Callithrix jacchus: one gene and its partner. Each later gene encodes a partner of the first gene's protein in a complex. Links are inferred from orthologs where the notes say so. Each region holds a gene or a part of one and is shown in the gene's direction. Other genes may lie near its edges.

Region 1 (9,176 bases):
CCCTTACGTAAATTATTTTTAATTTTCACAGTAATCACATAAAATTTATTCATTCAGCAAATCTTTTGTATGTGTGGCAGATGCTGGGTACTGGGGCTACATAGTCTCATTCCACTGGTGGAGCTTACACCCTAATGGGGCAGGTGACAAAAGCATACAGCTGTGAGTCCTATGAGAAAAGAGTATCAGAGGTCTAGTTTAGATTGGAGGGAAGGTGAAAGAAATGACATATGAACTGAGCCATATTATTCCTGTTTTATTAGTAAAGAAATTGATGTTTGTAAGAGGTAAATGGACTTGACTAAAAGTTCAGAACTTTGCAAGTAGATGCTAAGAGCTGGGATCCAAAACCATGTTTCTGTCATTTAAGCCCATTATGTTCCCACTGTATTATGCAGCCTACCCAAAAAGAGATAAGTGTCACAAGTCTTAGGGAGCTGGATGTTGTTAAGGAAGGACCACTGGGCTAGAAAATCAATAGAAGGACCTGGATATCCTACTGTGCTACTGGCAACTTCTGATATGACCTCAAGCAGGTCAAGCCATTCTGAGCCAGGGTATAGAGAGAGAATTGATCTAGATCCTTAGATCCTAAAGATGGTTTTGGGATGGACTACAGTTTGAGTTCTTAGTAGGAATACACACAGCTGGCTTGAGACACAACAATGCAGGTTTGGAGTTGGTCACTTACCTGGATCTTGTTTGTTTTTATAGAGACTATGCTGAGTCTGTGGGGCGGAAGGTGCGAGACCTGGGCATGGTAGTGGACTTGATCTTCCTCAACACAGAGGTGTCATTGTCACAAGCCTTGGAGGATGTTAGCAGGGGAGGTTCTCCTTTTGCTATTGTCATCACCCAGCAACACCAGATTCACCGCTCCTGCACAGTCAACATCATGTTTGGAACCCCGCAAGGTACAGGGGCCTAAGTGGGTCAAAATACCAGAGGTAGTGACTAGTCCATTATTAGTCCTTTATGCCTTACTCAGAAGAACCAGGTTTTGGGCAAATGACTCTTATATCCCAGTTCATACATGGTAGGGCCCCTCTCTAAGTACCGTGGAAGAGTGCTGCATAGTTGTTATCTGATAGTCTCTCAGTGGATACAGTTCTGGGCCTACTATCTGTTACATTATACTTAGCTTTAGGTATATACAGTGGTGTACTGACAAATATTTAACAACAAGTTGTGGGACGGGGGGAGGACATTTATAGCATTTGCTGATCTCCGTGGAATACATACTCCCACCATGTTTCAGTTCAAACCACCAACATGAAGTCACTGAAGGGAGAGTTGGAAAGAAATGTGCACAGTTGGCTCTTGCCACTGAGATCTGGCTCCAGCACACCTCTGGCATGTACACCAATGAACGTGACAAAATCCTTACTTTCGCCCAGCTTTCTAATGGAGGACAGATAATATAACAGGCATTTAGGATCCTTTTTATAAGTGTGCTGGAGAAGTAACCAGAAGGGCTATGAGAAGTTACCAGAGGGACTAAGAGGCCTTGACCCTGTAGAGGCCCAGGACCAGTTCTCGAAGTCCTTCTTAGAAGTAGCTTTTCAAGCACTGAACCCAGAGGATTGAGACTCGGCCAGCTGATACCCTGCTCCTCTTGCAGCACAGACTTACTGTTTTCCCACTACACTCAGCATCTCTGTTGGCCTCATTCCTTATCCTCATAACCATACAATTACGTAAGGATCTCCAGTGGATCATTTGTCCGTCTGAGGAATAGTCCCCAAGATGTGTGAGGACAAAAGTTCTGAGGAGTCCTCTCACTACCCGGTAAACCGTATTTCCCATGGGTGAGGAGAGGAGGTTATTTAGGGTCACAATTTGATCTTAAATCCATGACTTTTGAACTGATGAATTAAAAAACAGTAGGCCAGCTTTGTCCTGAGGAGCACAGTGGAGAGCCCAGCTTTCCAGAGGGCCTTGTTGGCCTCCTGCTGCTGGTCTAGAGGCTGCTGGGCCTGCCTCCCGGGGCTGTTCCCCACATGGCCTGTTTGAATCTGCAGGAGGCTGTCATGTTTCTTTGGTTTTTACTACTGCAAGTCTGTGATCTAGGAATTCCCCCAAAGAACCAGCTGTATACAAAGGTGCATGCTCCCACCAAAGGTATCCATTCACTTCCCTTCCTGCCCTTCATCTGTCCACCCACACCACCCTACTCTCAATCTCAAGCCTTTTTGTCACCAAAGTGATTTTCTTGCTGGTATAAGGTTAGGAAAGACTTGATAGAGGCAGCAGGCGGGCACTTAAATATGTCATGAAAGAAAATAACTCATGTCATTTCCTCCTACAGAGCATCGCAACATGCCCCAGGCAGATGCCATGGTGCTGGTGGCCAGAAATTATGAGCGTTACAAGAATGAGTGCCGGGAGAAGGAACGTGAGGAGATTGCCAGACAGGCAGCCAAGATGGCCGATGAAGCCATCCTGCAGGAAAGAGAGAGAGGAGGCCCTGAGGAGGGAGTGCGCGGGGGCCACCCTCCAGCCATCCAGAGCCTCATCAACCTGCTGGCAGACAACAGGTACCTCACTGCCGAAGAGACTGACAAGATCATCAACTACCTGCGAGAGCGGAAGGAGCGGCTGATGAGGAGCAGCACCGACTCTCTGCCTGGTGAGCTACGTGGCAGGGCCGAGGTGAAGTTCTGACTCTGCATTTCTCTAATCCCCAGGCTCTGTTGGGAGGGTGTCAGGCCCAGGGCTGTTTGGAGTGGGTAAGGGAAATAAGTCCATCCCTTGGGTTCTTCCATGGGCCATCCATTGCTGCTATAATGTTAATAATAACTTTTTATTATTTGGGTACTGAATGCTGATCCCCGTAGTTAATGTGGTGGATTGACTAGTATTGCTGAATCCCTGGTAGCCAGGATGGATGCCCTTTTGTTTTTTAGCAGTTCTCTAGGAGAACTAACCTATTGTTTTCTGTAAATAGCATATATCATGATGTAGCCCCTTGGGAAATTGATGTTATTGTCTGTGTACTATATGATTGATGTGACTCAGTGATTGTTGTTCTTCCTTTGGCTGCTAGGCCTCCTGCCCTTGGGGGGTACTTTGAACCAGATACCTCCCTCTTCTGTCTTCCAGGCCCGATTTCCCGCCAACCACTCGGGGCGACCTCGGGTGCCTCGCTGAAGACACAGCCAAGCTCCCAACCGCTCCAGAGCGGCCAAGTGCTCCCCTCTGCTACACCCACTCCATCTGCACCCCCCACCTCCCAGCAAGAGCTTCAGGCCAAAATCCTCAGCCTCTTCAATAGTGGTACAGTGGCGGCCAATAGCAGCTCTACATCCCCCTCGGTTGCTGCCGGAAACACCCCGAACCAGAATTTTTCCACAGCAGCAAACAGCCAGCCTCAGCAAAGATCACAGGCCTCTGGCAATCAGCCTCCAAGCATTTTGGGACAGGGAGGATCTGCTCAGAACATGGGCCCCAGACCTGGGGCTCCTTCCCAAGGGCTTTTTGGCCAACCTTCCAGTCGCCTGGCACCTGCTAGCAACATGGCTAGCCAGAGGCCTGTGTCTTCCACAGGCATCAACTTTGACAATCCAAGTGTACAGAAGGCTCTGGATACCCTGATCCAAAGTGGCCCTGCTCTCTCCCACCTGGTTAGCCAGACCACAGCACAGATGGGGCAGCCACAGGCCCCCATGGGATCTTACCAGAGGCATTACTGAGGCTAAATCTTTCAACTGTCCCCAGTCCCCTCATCCCCTGGCCTCCCACTTACTGCGTTCTAAATAGAGTTGTTTGGAGGATATTCTTGGCATTCTCCAGGTCTACATTGAGTGTCATCAGTTTCTTCTACCACCTGCTCTCTCTCCTGCCCAAGGCTGTGTTGCTTATTCCTTACCAAGTTTATGCTGCATTTGGGGCTGTATTCTGATTTGTTTTTTGGATTTTTGTAGAAAATAGGTATCTCCGGAGTCACTTGGGCAGTACAGGTGTCTGGGCTTATATCTGATGGGATTTCTCCAGTCCCTCTGTCTACTGGTTTCGGAGCCAGGCCCAGCTGGCGACATTTGGAATGGCATTTGTCATGTCAGTAGCCACCACCTTTGTTCATTGTGAACCTACCAAGACTTTCAAGCTTCAAACATGTCGACCAGAGCTCAAGCTCCTGCCTGCAACTCCTGCCTAGAGTTAAAGAAAAGTCGACTGGCCTTGGCAGGCACAGTGTCATCATACCCCAACCCCACGTTTGGGATCTGCTCGAAGATTCATAAATCAGCTACTCTGGATTGTTGAGGAATGGCCATGGCAGCTACAGAAGAATTTTTCTGTCTGAGCCAAGGTTGCTTTTTTGTTTTTTTCTCTTTTATTTTTTGTTTTCATTTCATTGGAAGATCTCCAATGGACTGAACAGCTCCAGTCAGCAGCAGTTTAATACAAACTGTGAATCTGGGCCCCACCACTCTTCCCCCTTACCAGTTCTGTCAGCATCCCCCTCCAGCGGCACTTGCATGGAGTCAATTCTGAGACTCTGGCCATGAACACTCATTTCTTCAATGATTTGTTTTGAGCTTTTGGCTCAAAACTCCAGGCTCTTATTTTTGTCTAGACTCTTGTTCCGTTTCCTGAGCAGTAGGAGGTAGGGACCACTTTGATGTCAGATTTCTGGTAGCTGGACATGTTCTTGAGATAGGTGGCTGTTCATGACTTTTGTACCAGAGTGAAATTGTTAGAGGGAGGGCTTCTGGCTGTGGTTCTAAGTGGAGCCGCAGAAAGCTGCCCTCTCCCCAGGGATTGTACTCAGCAGATCCCTGTGGATCATGGTCTCGAGATCCTCTAGCAGGGGAGAGGGAGAGCAGTGACCAGCTGAGTCCCTGACAGTGGCAGAGAAAACAATGGTTTCAAAATTCAAGGTCCCCAAATAGCAGCATTTTATGTTCTGACCTGTTTGTGTTATATAGTGTTTTTTTTTTTTTTTTCTCTTTGGAACTCTTGTGTTGTTAATAAAATGAAATGATTACTTTTTGATTAAAATGCAAAAAGTAAAAGCTGTGTTTATCTTTCTTGGGTGTGAATATCCTCTTTGCAGAACACTCCCCGAGTCAGAGGTGAGGGCTCCTGTGTCGAGGACTCTGGTCTGCCCCTTCTTGTCCTCAGCATGTGATCCGGCCTCAAACCTCTTAGAACCCTGCCTTCTCTGCATAGGTGGCTCACCTAGTTAGAGGCTTTAATAACAGTTCAGCGCAAAAGCCTACTGGCTAATTATAGTGCTGTGTTCAACATCCTGCTTCTGGCAGACATTCTTTGTGTCAGCAGCCTTGTCCTCTTATTCTAGAAAAGGAAAACAGGAATGTGAGGAGGCCATTTGTGGTTGGTGGCCTCTGGTAGAGAGGCACTTCCTGTTTTCATTTTGTCTCAGTTGCCACCCTCTGTTCAACCCATTGTACAGGGAGTTGGCAGAATCCATAGAACCCGAAGGAGCCTTGAAGAACATTGAATAACTTGGGGTGGGTGTGGTGAAGTGGGTGGCACAGGCCTCCCATGGGTTAGGCATCAACGTGCTGAGAGAACAGCCTGAACAGTGTTGAGTGCTCACTGCCTTAAGGGGGTATCACTGCAGCCTGACACCTATACTTAGAAAGTGCTCACTACCTCCTGGAAGATGTCAGTGCAGCCTGACACCTAGTAAGTGCCTACCAGTCTTAGGAGATGATGTTAGTGCTGCTCTCCAAGCCAGGGCCCCAAAGCTAGCGGTATGTAAATTAGATCAGCAGACCTGGGGCATTAGCCCATCTCTTCCGTCAGTGGAGGTCGGTGTTTCTGATTTAAGAGTGTGGGGTCTGGTCTGGTGTGGTGGCTCACGCCTGTAATCCCAGCACTTTGGGAGGCCGAGGCAGGTGGATCACCTGAGGTCAGGAATTCAAGACCAGCCTGGCCAACATGGTGAAACTCCATCTCAAAAAAAAAAAACGTGGGGTCCTATAGGGCCCCTGGAGTGTCTAAACAGCACATCTCAGGCCATGAAGGGTATAATAAAATTATTTTTATTGCATTTTGTGCAGATGGGAGTCTAAAAAAGTAATACAGTAAAAGCCATAAAGCATTAAATGGGAGCATTCAACAATAAAGGAAAGAACCAACCCTCTCCTTTTCATATTGGCACAAAGAACACAAGATCAATACTGAGGCAGGATGCGGAATACTGAACACTTATGCTGAAAAGTAAAGGCAGGCCTAATAATCATAGTAAGAATAGTAATAAATACTCTTGATTTGGTTTGCAACCTCTCCTATTTACAAGGGTTTTCAACTTCATTGCATTGCCCTGCACATAGATCATCTAAAACAAAAGCAACACTAGTTATCACTACAAGGCTATTGAAATATTGCACTCAGAATAAAAGTCACTTGAATGGACATGAAACATCTAACTACAGTGATTATAAAGATAACTTGATGAATGACATAACATTCATAACAAATATTGCACATGTAGCACAGAAAACTTGGGTTTTTGTTGTGGGATGTCTGTTTCATCAACGGAAACTTTGCTCTTGCCAACCAGACAATCTGGGCCCAGATAGTGCAACTTTGGTTCCCTAATTGATGTTGATACAGCCCCCTTCTGCACAGCCCACCACGTTAGCCCCGAAATATTCAGGCCCCCAGAAGGCAGGACCTGGCTGTGGTTCTCAGAGGGAGGTCCATTGAAGGATGCAGGGGCCTGGCGTCTAACACCTCCAGCTTACTGATTGAGTACCTGAATCTATCCAGTCCCCTGATCTAATCTCAGGGGGACCTTGGCATAACCGGCAGACCTCCAAACCTACCCCCAGCCACACCTGACCCTGTCTAGGTGGTGCCAGCTCCAGCTCTACCTCAGGCTCAAAGGAAAAAAGGTGGTGAGGTCAGGAGTACTCAGTGGCCCCAGCTCTGGGAGGTGAGTGAGATGTCTAACTAGGTACGCAGGTCAGGGCCCTGGGGCTGGAGGTACTGTACCCAGTCCCAGATGGTGCTGGAACGAGCATGCAGTGCCTGTCCCCCTTAGTAACGTGCCCTAGGGGAAGGGAACCCGGCCACCGCGCCTTCTCTGAGGACAGTATGCCTCAGACCAGGCTGGTGGAGCGGAAGCGCCAAGGACGAATTGGGGAAGCCAAAGGCCCTGGGTCCTACAGGAGAGCACACAGGCGCTAAGAACAAAGCGCGTGTGACTCCAGCCCTCCCGCAGGCCCAGGTACCCCGGGAGACGGAGCTAGAGGCCGCTGCTAAGCAGCAAGGCCCGGCCCCAGAGCACAGAGAAGGAGTCTGCCAGTTGGGGACGGAGGAGGGAAAGTCAAGGGCGGCGCCGGGGCCTCCCAGCAGGTCGGCCCCCTAAACCAGAATGGGCCCCCTCCTCCCGACCTGTCCCAGGGAGGAAACTCCAGGGAGGGGGCGCCCTCCAGCTCCATAATTTCAGTCTTTGGCGAGGAGCCATGAGATACGGGGAGCAGGCGACAAGCCGACTGAGGAGAGACGCCTGCTTCCCAGCAAAGGCACCGGGGCGGGGCTTCCTCGGCGGGGCGCGGGCCTCTCGGTTTCTTCCCGTTGAGGAGCGCCCCTCCCCAATCCTGGCCCCAACTTGCATAAGAGCCGATGAGAAGAGGTTGCGCGTCTCTGCAGCCGCAGTGGAAGCTCACATTCGCTGGGAGGCGAATCCAGGAAAAGTTGGACCCTTGTCTCACCTCATCTTGGAAAAGGACTGGCAGGGAGAGTGGGAAGCCAAGGGCGCGGGAAAGGGCGAAGAGGCGAGAGCCGGACAGGGGTGTGGAGGGACCAGGACCACGACCCCCGCCTGGGCCTAAATCACTTTTGCTCTCAAACTCTTGGACGTCAAGGAAAACTCAGCTTCCCGAGGCCTCCGCCTCCCCGCAGTGCCCCCAGCGGGAGAGCTCGACTGTGGCGAGAAGTCTGTTGCGCTTCTAGTCACATAAATATGGGGACGTTAAAAATACACGCGATGTCTCCTGTACACTATGTATAGGCTCGGCCGCCCGCGCCCCGCGGCTCGGCGAGAAGGGGCGGCGGAGACGGCAAGCGCCGCCTTCCCACCCCGCGCGCCTCCGGGAGCCGGAGGAGCGCAGAGCGAGGACCGCGGCGGGCAGGCGTGGGAAGGGGAAGAATGGGCCGCATGGACTACCTGGGGGTCCCCAAGGCCCCAGCTCCTCTCCTTTCCACGCCTCCTCCCAACCTTTATTGCAGCGTCTCCTCCGAGAAGACAAGGCCGGGCTTAGAAAAAGGGCAGCGCGGACCCACAGGCCAACCGGGCACTGAGGAGCTCTGGTCTCCGCGAGGCGGGGTGCCCTCTCCGAGTCAGCCCCCACAGGCGTGGCCTCCAGGCTTCAGGCAGTGGGGTAAGGGACCAGGGCACGGGCACAGGGTCTGTATGTAAACGGTGACAGCGGCGGGGGGGCGCGGCGAGGGCTCCGGAGCCGCGGCGAGGGCGCACTTGGGCCCGGGTGGCAGGTCCTGGCTCTCAGGAGTAGATGGTGATGACCTCGCGGCCGCCGCCGCGGACCAGCATCACCCGGTCCAAGTGCTCTGTGAGGACCTCGAGGAATTCCATGTCTGTGAGCCGGTCAAGGAGAAAGACCCGATCTCCTTCCCTCCCGATGAAATTCGGGTAGCGCTAGGCTGCCAGGGGACCTCTCGCGCCCGTGTCCCCGTCCGAGGTGCTGATCCGGAGGCAGAAACAGTTCAGCAATTCCATCCCAGGGACAGGACCCAGCTTCCCTGACGTCCACCTCCCTCTTTCCCCCAATTTTAATTCCAGGATACAGTTTTCATCACCATTACGGTTGCGGGGAGGCCCAGGCATGTTGAGCAAAACAAGCTTGGCGTCCCGGGATTTCTTCACGATGACCTCGTTCAGCCGCACGGCCGTGTGCATGCGCCGCACATTGGACTGGTTCCTGCGGAAGGAGGGAAAGGTGGAGAGTACGTGAGCCTGAAGAGGGAAGATTGAAGCCAGTCGCCCTTCCAGCCCTAACTGGGCTGCTGGGGCGTGGTTCTTGCAAGCCCAGGACCACCAATCCTAAACCTCTCCAAGCTAGGCTACTCAGAGATCCCAGAGGTCGCGGCACCAATCAAGGGCTCACAATAGAGTGAGGAGGGTAGGGAACCCTGGCCATCCTAGAAGAGAGAATGAAAAAAATGCTGAAGCACTTACAAGT
Region 2 (9,837 bases), on another chromosome or scaffold:
TTTTTGCTCTTTCAGCTGTTGAGAGGTTTAAATATCCCATTATAATAGTGCATCTGTCAGTTTCTCTTTTTCTTGCAATCATTTTTTGTGTTGTACTTGGAGGCTGTGTTTTGTTGTTTATGATTTTTTTTTTTTCTGCAGAATCTTGCTCTGTCACCCAGGCTGGAGTGCAGTGGTGCGATCTCAGCTCATTGCAACCTCTGCCTCCCAGGTTTGTGTGATTCTCCTGCCTCTGGAGGCCTCCTGAGATTGGGATTACAGGAATGTGCCACCATACCTGGGTAATTTTTGTATTTGTAGTAGAAATGAGGTTTCACCATGTTGGCCAGGCTGGTCTTGAACTCCTGACCTCAAGTGATCCACCAGCCTCAGCCTCCTAAATTGCTGGGATTGCAGGTGTGAGCCAACTGTGCCTGGCCTATGTTGTTTTGAAGTATATGAGTTTAGAATTATTTATCTTTTATTAATATTCTAGAAATGAGTCTCCTAATCTATAATAATAAATTTTGCCTTAAAGTTTGTCTGATATCAATAGAGTAACATCAATTTATTTGATTAATTTTTGCCTGTTATATATTTTTCTGTCTACTTTGTTTTTCTGTATGTGAGGTATATCTCTTATGACTAATCTATGTCTAGATTTAAAAATATATAGGATTTCAGAGTCACTCTTAAATGGTCAATTTAGTATTTTTTCTTTATTGTGATAACTAATATTTGGGTTCATTTCTATCTTATTTTGTGATTTTAAAATTTTTATGTATTTTCTACTTCTTTCCTTTTAGGATTTAATCACATTTTTGTTTTATTTTTCTTCTTTTACTAGTTTGAAAGTCATACATTCTGTTTTATTTCCCTTTTTTTTTTTTGAGACAGAGTCTCGCTATATCACCCAGGCTGGAGTCCAATGGCACGATCTCAGCACACTGCAGCCTCTGCCTTTTGGGTTCAAGTGATTCTCCTTCCTCAGCCTCCTAAAGAGCTGGGATTGCAGGGGTATGCCACCATGCCCAGCTAATTTTTGTATTATTAGTAGAGACAGGGTTTCACCATGTTGCTCAGGCTGGTCTTGAACTTCTGGCCTCAAGTGATCCCTCCCCCCCTTGGCCTCCTAAAGTGCTGGGATTACAAGTGTGAGCCACCATGCTTAGCCACATTTAAATTCCTTTAGTGACATTTCTATTTTTCAACATGTGTTCTTGATTAATATGAGAATTTAAGCTTTTATCTTCCCAAAAAAAGAATTTTAGAAATTCTAACCAAAGTCATTCATCTCTCATCTTACATGTTATTGTTAGGTATTTTGGTTCCACCTTGTTTCTGTATCACAAAAACTTTAAATATTGGATTGCATGTGGTGGCTTCTACCTGTAATCCCAGCACTTTGGGAGACCAAGGCAAGAGGATCATTTGAGCCTAGGAGTTCAAGACCAGTGTGGACAACATAGCAAGACCCTGTCTCTACACAAAATACAAAAATTAGTCAGGTGTGGCGGTGCACACTGTAGTCCCAGCTACCCAGGAGGATCACCTGAACCTGGTAGGTTGAGGTTGCAGCGGGCTGTGATCATGACCATTCCACCATACTCCAGCTTGGGGGACAGAGAGACCCTGTCTCTAAATAAATAAATAAATACAAAGAATAAGCATATAAATCAAATTTGCTAGTAATTAAAACATACAAAGTAAAGCAAGATGGTTTAGTCATTTGTTAGATTAGCACACATTAAAAATGATTTTTAATGCCAAATGGGTCTGAGAAAATAGTCAAACTATTGAGCACTGGGCAACATAGACCGTATCTCTACAAAAATATTTTAAAATTAGCTGGGCATGGTGGCATGTTCCTGGAGTGCCAGCTACTCAGGAGGCTGAGGTAGCAGGGTTGCTTGAACCCAGGAGATGGAGGCTGCAGTGAGCTATGATTGCACCACTATATCCACCTTGGGCAACAGAGTGAGACTCTTTCTCAAAAATACAATGAAAATAAAATTGTGTATATACTACAATCTAGTTTTGTATGTAAAGGCCAGGCGCAGTGACTCATGCCTGTAATCCCAGCACTTTGGAAGACTGAGATGGGCAGATCACCTGAGGTCAGGAATTTGAGACCAGCCTGGCCAATGTGGTGAAAACCTGTCTCTATTTAAGTAAATACAAGAATTAGCTGGGCGTGGTGGCATGTGCCTGTAGTCCCAGCTACTTGGGCAGCCCAGGCAGGAGAATTGCTTGTATCTGGGAAGCAGAGGTTGCAGTGAGCCAAGGTTGTGCCACTGCACTCTAGCCTGGCGCCTGGCGACAGAGTGAGACTCCATCTCAAAAAAAAAAAAAAAAAAAAAAAAAATTAGCCAAGTGTGGTGGTAGGTACCTATAATTCCCAGCTACTCAGGAGGCTGAGGCTGGAAAATTGCTTGAACCTGGAGACTGAGGTTGCATGAGCCAAGATTGCAGCACTGAACTGCAGGCTGGTTGACACAGTGAGACTCCGGCTCATAAATAAATAAATAAATAAATAAATAATTTTGTGTATAAAACATGGAAAAACATAAAAGCATTAAAAAGACTGAAAGACAGCACTTTGGGAGGCCGAGGCGGGTGGATCACGAGGTCAACAGATCGAGACCATCCTGGTCAACATGGTGAAACCCCGTCTCTACTAAAAATTACAAAAAATTAGCTGGGCACAGTGGCGCGTGCCTGTAATCCCAGCTACTCAGGAGGCTGAGGCGGGAGAATTGCCTGAACCCAGGGGGCGGAGGTTGCAGTGAGCCAAGATCGCGCCATTGCACTCCAGCCTGGGTAACAAGAGCGAAACTCCGTCTCAAAAAAAAAAAAAAAAAAAGACTCAAAGAGTTTATGCCAAAATTTATTCTCTTTTATATTCTCCAGATTTTTTTCACTTAGTTTTTTGAAATATACTTGTTTTGTGTAAGTATGGAAAAGAAATATAAATATATGCACACATGCATATAAACATTTTAAGAATGTGTTATAATAAAAGTGTATTATTTGATACCTTCAGAAATATCCCCATTTTTCTACCTGAAGAAAATTCCTAATTTCATGGTTTGGAAACAGGTATGTGAGCGCTCTTTATAGAGAAATGGAGTTAGCATCTAGAGATGACCTGGAAATGGAGACCTGAAAAGTTGCTGAAAAGTTATGTTGTTGGTTTGCTAGTAGAGTCAAGACCATAGTAATCTTTGATATGTGCCCTACACGCTGAAGAGTCAGGCTTCTTTTAGTTGACTGTGGTTTTACCCTGGCAATTCGAATGACTCTGCTTTCCTCTTCAGGCTCCCGGAGAGAGAGATGTGGGTACCGCCTTGTGCGGAGACAGGGAAATGCCGAGGAGCAGCTGCATTGCGCCGGCAAGGCCAAGAGAAGTGGTGGTCACGTGCCCCGAGTGCGGGAGCTGCTGCTGAGCGCCCTGAGCCCCGAGCAGCTGGTGCTCACCCTCCTGGAGGCCGAACCGCCCCATGTGCTGATCAGCCGCCCCAGCGTGCCCTTCACTGAGGCCTCCATGATGATGTCCCTGACCAAGCTGGCCGACGAGGAGTTGGTACACATGATCAGCTGGGCCAAGAAGATTCCCGGTAGGGCCTTCTGGCTATTAGTTTTCCATGTGCTTGTAGAAAGGCCTGCTGCTAATATTTAAGGGGCAAGAGTACAAAGTAGAGGTCCACGAGCTGTGCCTAGATATTTAACAGTTCCACAGCTGGATTTGTAACTTCTGAGTGCAATATGTTCTTTGCTCCCATCTTGGCATACCTACCTTCAACAAGGCCATGTTCCGATTTAGAATTCTAAGACTCCTCTAAGTTCAGTACCAGACATGGTAGTGCAGAAAGAGCTGTCACCCAGCCGTTTCTATTCTTGACTCCCTTCTTTTCCCATGGACAGATGCATCCCATACTACCTTCCTTGCACAAACCCCATCCTATGTGTCCATGTCTGCTACAGACACCTGTTGGCCACCTTTCATGCCTAGAGGTGGTCTGGGAGGATGGACCCAGGGAACCCACCCAGGCTCTGAAATTGGGCTTGGGGTCATTTGGGCAAGAAATCCTAGGGTCCTGGAACCTGGAACAGGGTTAAAATGATGGGCTCAGCTAGGCGTGGTGGCTCACGCCTGTAATCCCAGCACTTTGAGAGGCCGAGGAGGACGGAATACAGGGTCAGCTGTCAAGACCAGTCTTACCAACATGGCAAAACCTTGTCTCTACTAAAAATACAAAAATTAGCCAGGCATGGTGGCAGATGCCTGTAATCCCAGCTACTTGAGAGGCTGAGGCAGGAGAGTCGATTGAACCCAGGAGGCGGAGGTTGTAGTGCCGAGATCACAACAGAGCAAGACTCTGTCTAAAATAATAATAACTAATTAATTAATTAAAAAGCTGGGCTCCACATTGACCTGTCCTTTGGCTGTGGACTCCTCACCTTGAGAGGAGGGGCATGTTTAGATAGGATGGGGCAGGGTGCAGTATGACTGGTTTGGAAGTGAAAGGTTTGTCAGATGTTAAATAGAATTTTATAAATTATTATTCCAATAGAGAATCAATATTATGTACATAAATAAGTATGTATGGACAAATAGAGTAAATCAGTTACATGAATCCTCAATGGGCCCATAAACTTGGAATGCCATTGAGTTAAAAGTGAGCTTAGTGACTCGTGAGTTATCATTTGGAACCTGCATTTTCCATCCTCTAAAATGATCACTTCTCCCAAGCCCATTTGTAATATATACCTGAAGGGCTGTATGATGCTAAAATTACCAGCCAATTATCATTTGACTTGGTGTTTCTGTGGAGGAGTGAATCTAGGATTCTAACCTAGAATGGCAACACCCCACAATCCCCCTGTGAAAGCTTCCCCATGCCCTTCTTTACAGTCCTTGAAGAAAAGAAGTCTCTTACAAGTTCTGAGCCACTGGGGACATTCCCATGGCCTGGAGAGCAGCAAGTGTACTGGGCAAATGTAAAGATGAGGAGGGGTGAGAAGCTGGGGGGAGAGCAGTTCCAGGTAAAGAGCCCGGGGAACTGAGGCCTACAGTGACAGTATCACTTGGGGACTTTTGTTGGCCTGGGCCCATTTCTTCTGAGCTTCCTGAGGATTTTTTGGTTTCTAGTTGTATTTTGTTTTGTCTAGCATCTTCACCTTTGCCAGAATTACTTTATTTTCTCTGCTTTTTCCCAGAGGAGACAGTGCTGATGCACTTTGCTCTAGTTTTTGCTTTAAATGTATTCCAAACACAGTTTTGCAGGACCACACATGGAGAGCAGTGGTGAAATTAGTTATTACTGAAAGCTGTGCCCCTTCTTTGTGCCATAAGAAATCTGAACTTTTCAGCTGCATTATTCCTTATTAAACCTGGTGTTTTTAAAAATTTTTGGGAAACATAGGCATAGTCTGAAGGCGTGATTTTTCCCCCCTCTCCTAGCTGGCATAGTCATTGTCCAAACAAACAAAAAAGTTATCATCTAGCCCTAATTTTGTTGAATATCTACAAGATTAAGAACCGTGATCTCTCTTGGGTAGGCTATTGTCTATCACTGTGGGTGAGATTGGGAAGGTGTATACACATTAGGAACCTAAGTTGAGCATAGCATGTGGATTTAGAAAGTATTTATCCATCTTTACATTCATAACACCATGAAATTCTCCTTTATGCAAATTGGCACTATAATTGTTCCAAGACTTGAACCACATGTGTTCTCTCTGCCATAGCATCCTCATCTGTAAAATAAGGATGGTAAGAGATCCTGCCTATAGGACATTCCCAGAGATAGGCATTATTATCCCCATTTTCCTATAAGAAAAACAAAGACTTAGTGGGAAATTAAGTGACCAGCTAGCAAGAGGCTGAGCTGGGATTCAAACCAGAGTCCATTTCATGCCAATGCTCTGTCTTTTGTTACCATATTTCTATTACATGGTCCTCTCCTTTTATCATGGCTTGTGGAGGAAGCCCCGGTGTTCTATGCTTTTTTTTAAAGTGCTCCCCTCCCCAGAGGTTACCTGTTTTCAATCAGTATTGTGACCAACATGTGTTATTAGGTTGTCAGGACCTGCTTCGTTATATTTGCTTTTTATTATTATGTTTTTGAGACAGAATCTTGCATCTCGCCCAGGCTGTAGTGCAGTGGCGCCATCTCGGCTCACTGCAATCTCTGCCTCCTGGGTTCAAGCAATTCTTCTGCCTCAGCCTCCCAAGTAGCTGGGATTACAGGCATGCACCACCATGCCTAGCTAATTTTTTTTGTATTGTCAGTAGAGACGAGGTTTCACTATGTTGGCCAGGATGGTCTTGATCTCCTAACCTCATGATCCTCCCGCCTTGGCCTCCCAAAGTGCTGGGATTACAGGCAGGAGCCACTGTACCTGGCCATATTTGCTCTTTATTTATTTATTTATTTTTTTGAGACAAGGTCTCACCCTGTTGCCCAGGCTGGAGTGTGGTGGTGTGATCTTGCTCACTGCAGTCTTGACCTCCCGGGCTCAAGCCATCCTCCCACTTTAGCCTTCAGAGTTTCTGGGACTTCAGTCACCTACCACCGTGACCAGGTAATTTTTTGTAGAGATGGGGTTTCCCCATGTTGGCCAGGCTGGTTTCCAAATCCTGGGTACAGGCAATCTACCTACCTTGGCCCCCCAAAGTCCTGGGATTACAGTTGTGCCTCACTGTGCCTGGGCTATGTTTGCTGTTTAGGATAGAATCACCCAGAAACAGTGCTTCTACCTAGAAGAAGGATCCTAACACTGGATGGGAGATTTTAAGCAATCAGAGAAATCCTTGCTGTTGAGTCCTTGGCTTTCTGTGCGGGCTGGCACTGCTGTCTGCATGCCTCCACCTGCAGCCTCCACCTACCGCATTCCCCAGCGCCTTCTGATCCCAGTCAAGGACTGGGTCAGACAGGCAGCTCCTCTGACTGGCAGCCAAACATTAACCTTCTCAGTAGCGCAGAGGAATGATCAGGACGCAGCTAACGACAGTTGGTTCTGAGCCCAGGTCATAGTGCTTGACAAACTCCAAATGATGTCTCTAGAAGGGGTCCAAGACTGGAAACCGGTTGCGCAGCTTAACTTAAAAGTTTTCTTCCTTTAATGAGCAGTTAATCACATCTATAAAATATTGATTCCCTAATGGTTTCTGTTTTCTTAGTGTTTTAACACTTGCCATTCTATCTCTACAGAAACAGGGAGCTGAGGAGGAGGGGTGGGGGTGTCTCACTACCTTTTACTTTCCCCAGGCTTTGTGGAGCTCAGCCTGTTGGACCAAGTGCGGCTCTTGGAGAGCTGCTGGTTGGAGGTGTTAATGGTGGGGCTGATGTGGCGCTCAATTGACCACCCCGGCAAGCTCATCTTTGCTCCAAATCTCATTCTGGACAGGTGAGAAAAAAACATATTGTGTTTCTTCTCCAACTTGTTTGAGTAAGGTGCTGAGTGAGTGGGAACAAAGTCCTAGGTGCTGCAATTAAAATCTCACACCTGCAGGGCAATTAGAGGATGATGGCATCATTAGATCCTTCAGTGGGTCAAGAACCAGAGAAGGAGAGAGAGAGGATCAAGGATTCAGGGTCCTGTGACTCATTTTTAATCTGAGGTGCATTACAGGCCAGCGCCTTAATAGGGGACTGTATCCTGTAGGGATGTGGCCACTATGTATATAAGTCGACATAGACTTTTCTGCATTAAAAATTCCATTTTCAGGTTACAATCTTAAGTTGTCCTTCTGTGTTTTGTACCTATAGTGACCAATTACATCTGTAGCTTTCTGGACAGGTGATAATAGTCTTAAAAATCTGCCAAGTTTATTTTCATATGCTTTAACTCATTCTTTTTTTTTTTTTTTTTTTTTTTTGGAGACAGAGTCTTACTCTGTTCTTCAGGCTGGAGTGCAGTGGTTCAATCTGGCTCACTGCAACCTCCACCTCCTGGATTCAAGTGATTCTCCTGCTTCAGCCTCCCAACTAGCTGGGATCACAGCCTGCCACCACGCCAGGCTAATTTTTGTATTTTTAGTAGAGATGGTTGTACCATGTTGGGCAGGCTGGTCTTGAACTCCTGACCTCAGGCAATCTGCCCACCTTGGCCTCCCAAAGTTCTGGGATTACAGGTGTGAGCCACTGTGCCCTGCCTGCTTTAACTCATTCTAATGCATGTACTACATAGCATTTTTCACAATAGTGGTGAGAGGAAGAGTTACTAAAACCACATGAAACTTAACAGAAATTGGGATGTGTTGCTATAACTTGGTTGCGTTTGATTTTCTTTTAAAGATGACATGGAAAAGGAACCAATTTTTAATTGACTTAGGTGAACTGTTTATGGAGGGAAACCTGAACTATATAAAAACACTCAAGTTTTTTTAGCGGGAAAAGTAGACTACCTTCTTGGTATAAATTTGAGCAGTTTGAAAATCTTCATGGAAATTGATTTCCACACCTCTTTTATGGAAAAACTGCTAGTGTTGAGTGTTCAGCCACATCTGACTCTGCAGAGTGGGAGGATGGCTAGTGCCTACCCCAACTCTTTCATTATTATCCTGTTACACTTTAGATCATCAGAAGACCCTGTGTTACACAGATGAAGAGTGATACCCCAAGGTATCAGTCTCATCTGCCTTTTGTCATGGTTGACAATGTTATTAAAAGAGAACTGTTCTGCATAATGAAGGTGTTTTGATAGAGAACAGATCCTTAGGGAAAAGCTGGAGGACTGATGTGACTTGAACAGGAGCAAGCCTAGGTGGTGAACCACACAGGGAGGCTATGGAAGCCCAGAGCAGTGCAGGGCATAAGACCCTTCAGTAACAAACAAAATGGCTAACCTATTGGCCTGTTTGTGCTTGGCAGCACCTTACATTGTGCTTATGTTGTGACTTATGTTGACACATTTAATCTTCACAATCTTCCTACACTCTTTGGGGGAATAAGCACCATTATTATCTCTGTCATTCAGGTATTAGAAATGGGAGATTAAGAAACCTGCTTACAGGACCAGGCACGGTGGCTCACGCCTGTAATCCAGCACTTTGGGAGGCCAAGGTGGGTGGATCACCTGAGGTCAGGAGTTCAAGACCAGCCTGGCCATCATGGTGAAACCCCATCTTTTTTTTTTTGAGACGGAGTTTCGCTGTTGTTACCCAGACTGGAGTGCAATGGCACGATCTCGGCTCACCGCAACCTCCGCCTTCTGGGTTCAAGCAATGCTCCTGCCTCACCCTCCCGAGTAGCTGGGATTACAGGCATGTGCCACCATGCCCAGCTAATTTTTGCATTTTTAGTAGAGACAGGGTTTCACCTCGTTGACCAGGATGGTCTCGATCTCTTGTCCTTGTGATCCACCCACCTCGGCCTCCCAAAGTGCTGGGATTATAGGCGTGAGCCACGGCGCCCGGCCTGAAACCCCATCTTTTAGAAGTAAATTAAAAAATTAAAAAAAAAAAAGAAAGAAACCTGCTTATGAGTGGAATAGTAGCTGGTGGAGCTGGACTTGGGGGGTTGCCATGGCAAACTGTCTGTTCTGCCTGTTGTCATCAATAACAATGTTGACAAAGAGCACATCCTGCAGAACAGAAGTGTGTTGGTAGAGAATAGCCCTGTTCTACTCCTAGCACACCGCAGATACCCGCTCCTCCCGCTGTCATCTCAGGGTACCATGTTGCAAGGCAGGCTGAAAAGCCAAGCACAGTAGCCAAGCCGTTGCTCTCATTCATTCATTGTATTCCACTTGGTGTTTTAACTGGAGCCAAGTATGCATATGTATAAATATACACATATAATTCTCCTAGAAGTTAGTCCTAGGAAGACGTTCCATCCCTTCACGAATCGA

What was found.
Region 2: the proteins of NCOA5 (region 1) and ESR2 are in contact, whole or in part, in a crystal structure (PDB 4ZI1), measured with the Homo sapiens proteins. The link is inferred for Callithrix jacchus from reciprocal best matches to the Homo sapiens genes NCOA5 and ESR2. Residues at the interface, in NP_066018.1 of Homo sapiens: Ser344, Leu345, Ile346, Leu348, Leu349, Ala350, Asp351; in NP_001428.1 of Homo sapiens: Ile310, Lys314, Phe319, Leu324, Gln327, Val328, Leu331, Glu332, Leu490, Glu493, Met494.

The regions. Positions count from the first base shown.
Region 1 is NC_133506.1:41,294,969-41,304,144, reverse strand, and holds the end of NCOA5 (nuclear receptor coactivator 5), read left to right. Parts: intron 1-714; coding exon 715-914; intron 915-2,308; coding exon 2,309-2,629; coding exon of another isoform or gene 2,630-2,652; intron 2,653-3,102; coding exon 3,103-3,692; 3' UTR 3,693-5,015; downstream 5,016-9,176. Other genes in the region: SLC12A5 (solute carrier family 12 member 5), read right to left, coding at 8,480-8,571, 8,782-8,915, 9,173-9,176. UniProt on the Homo sapiens protein: Nuclear receptor coregulator that can have both coactivator and corepressor functions.
Region 2 is NC_133509.1:98,918,383-98,928,219, reverse strand, and holds part of ESR2 (estrogen receptor beta), read left to right. Parts: intron 1-3,296; coding exon 3,297-3,596; intron 3,597-7,253; coding exon 7,254-7,392; intron 7,393-9,837.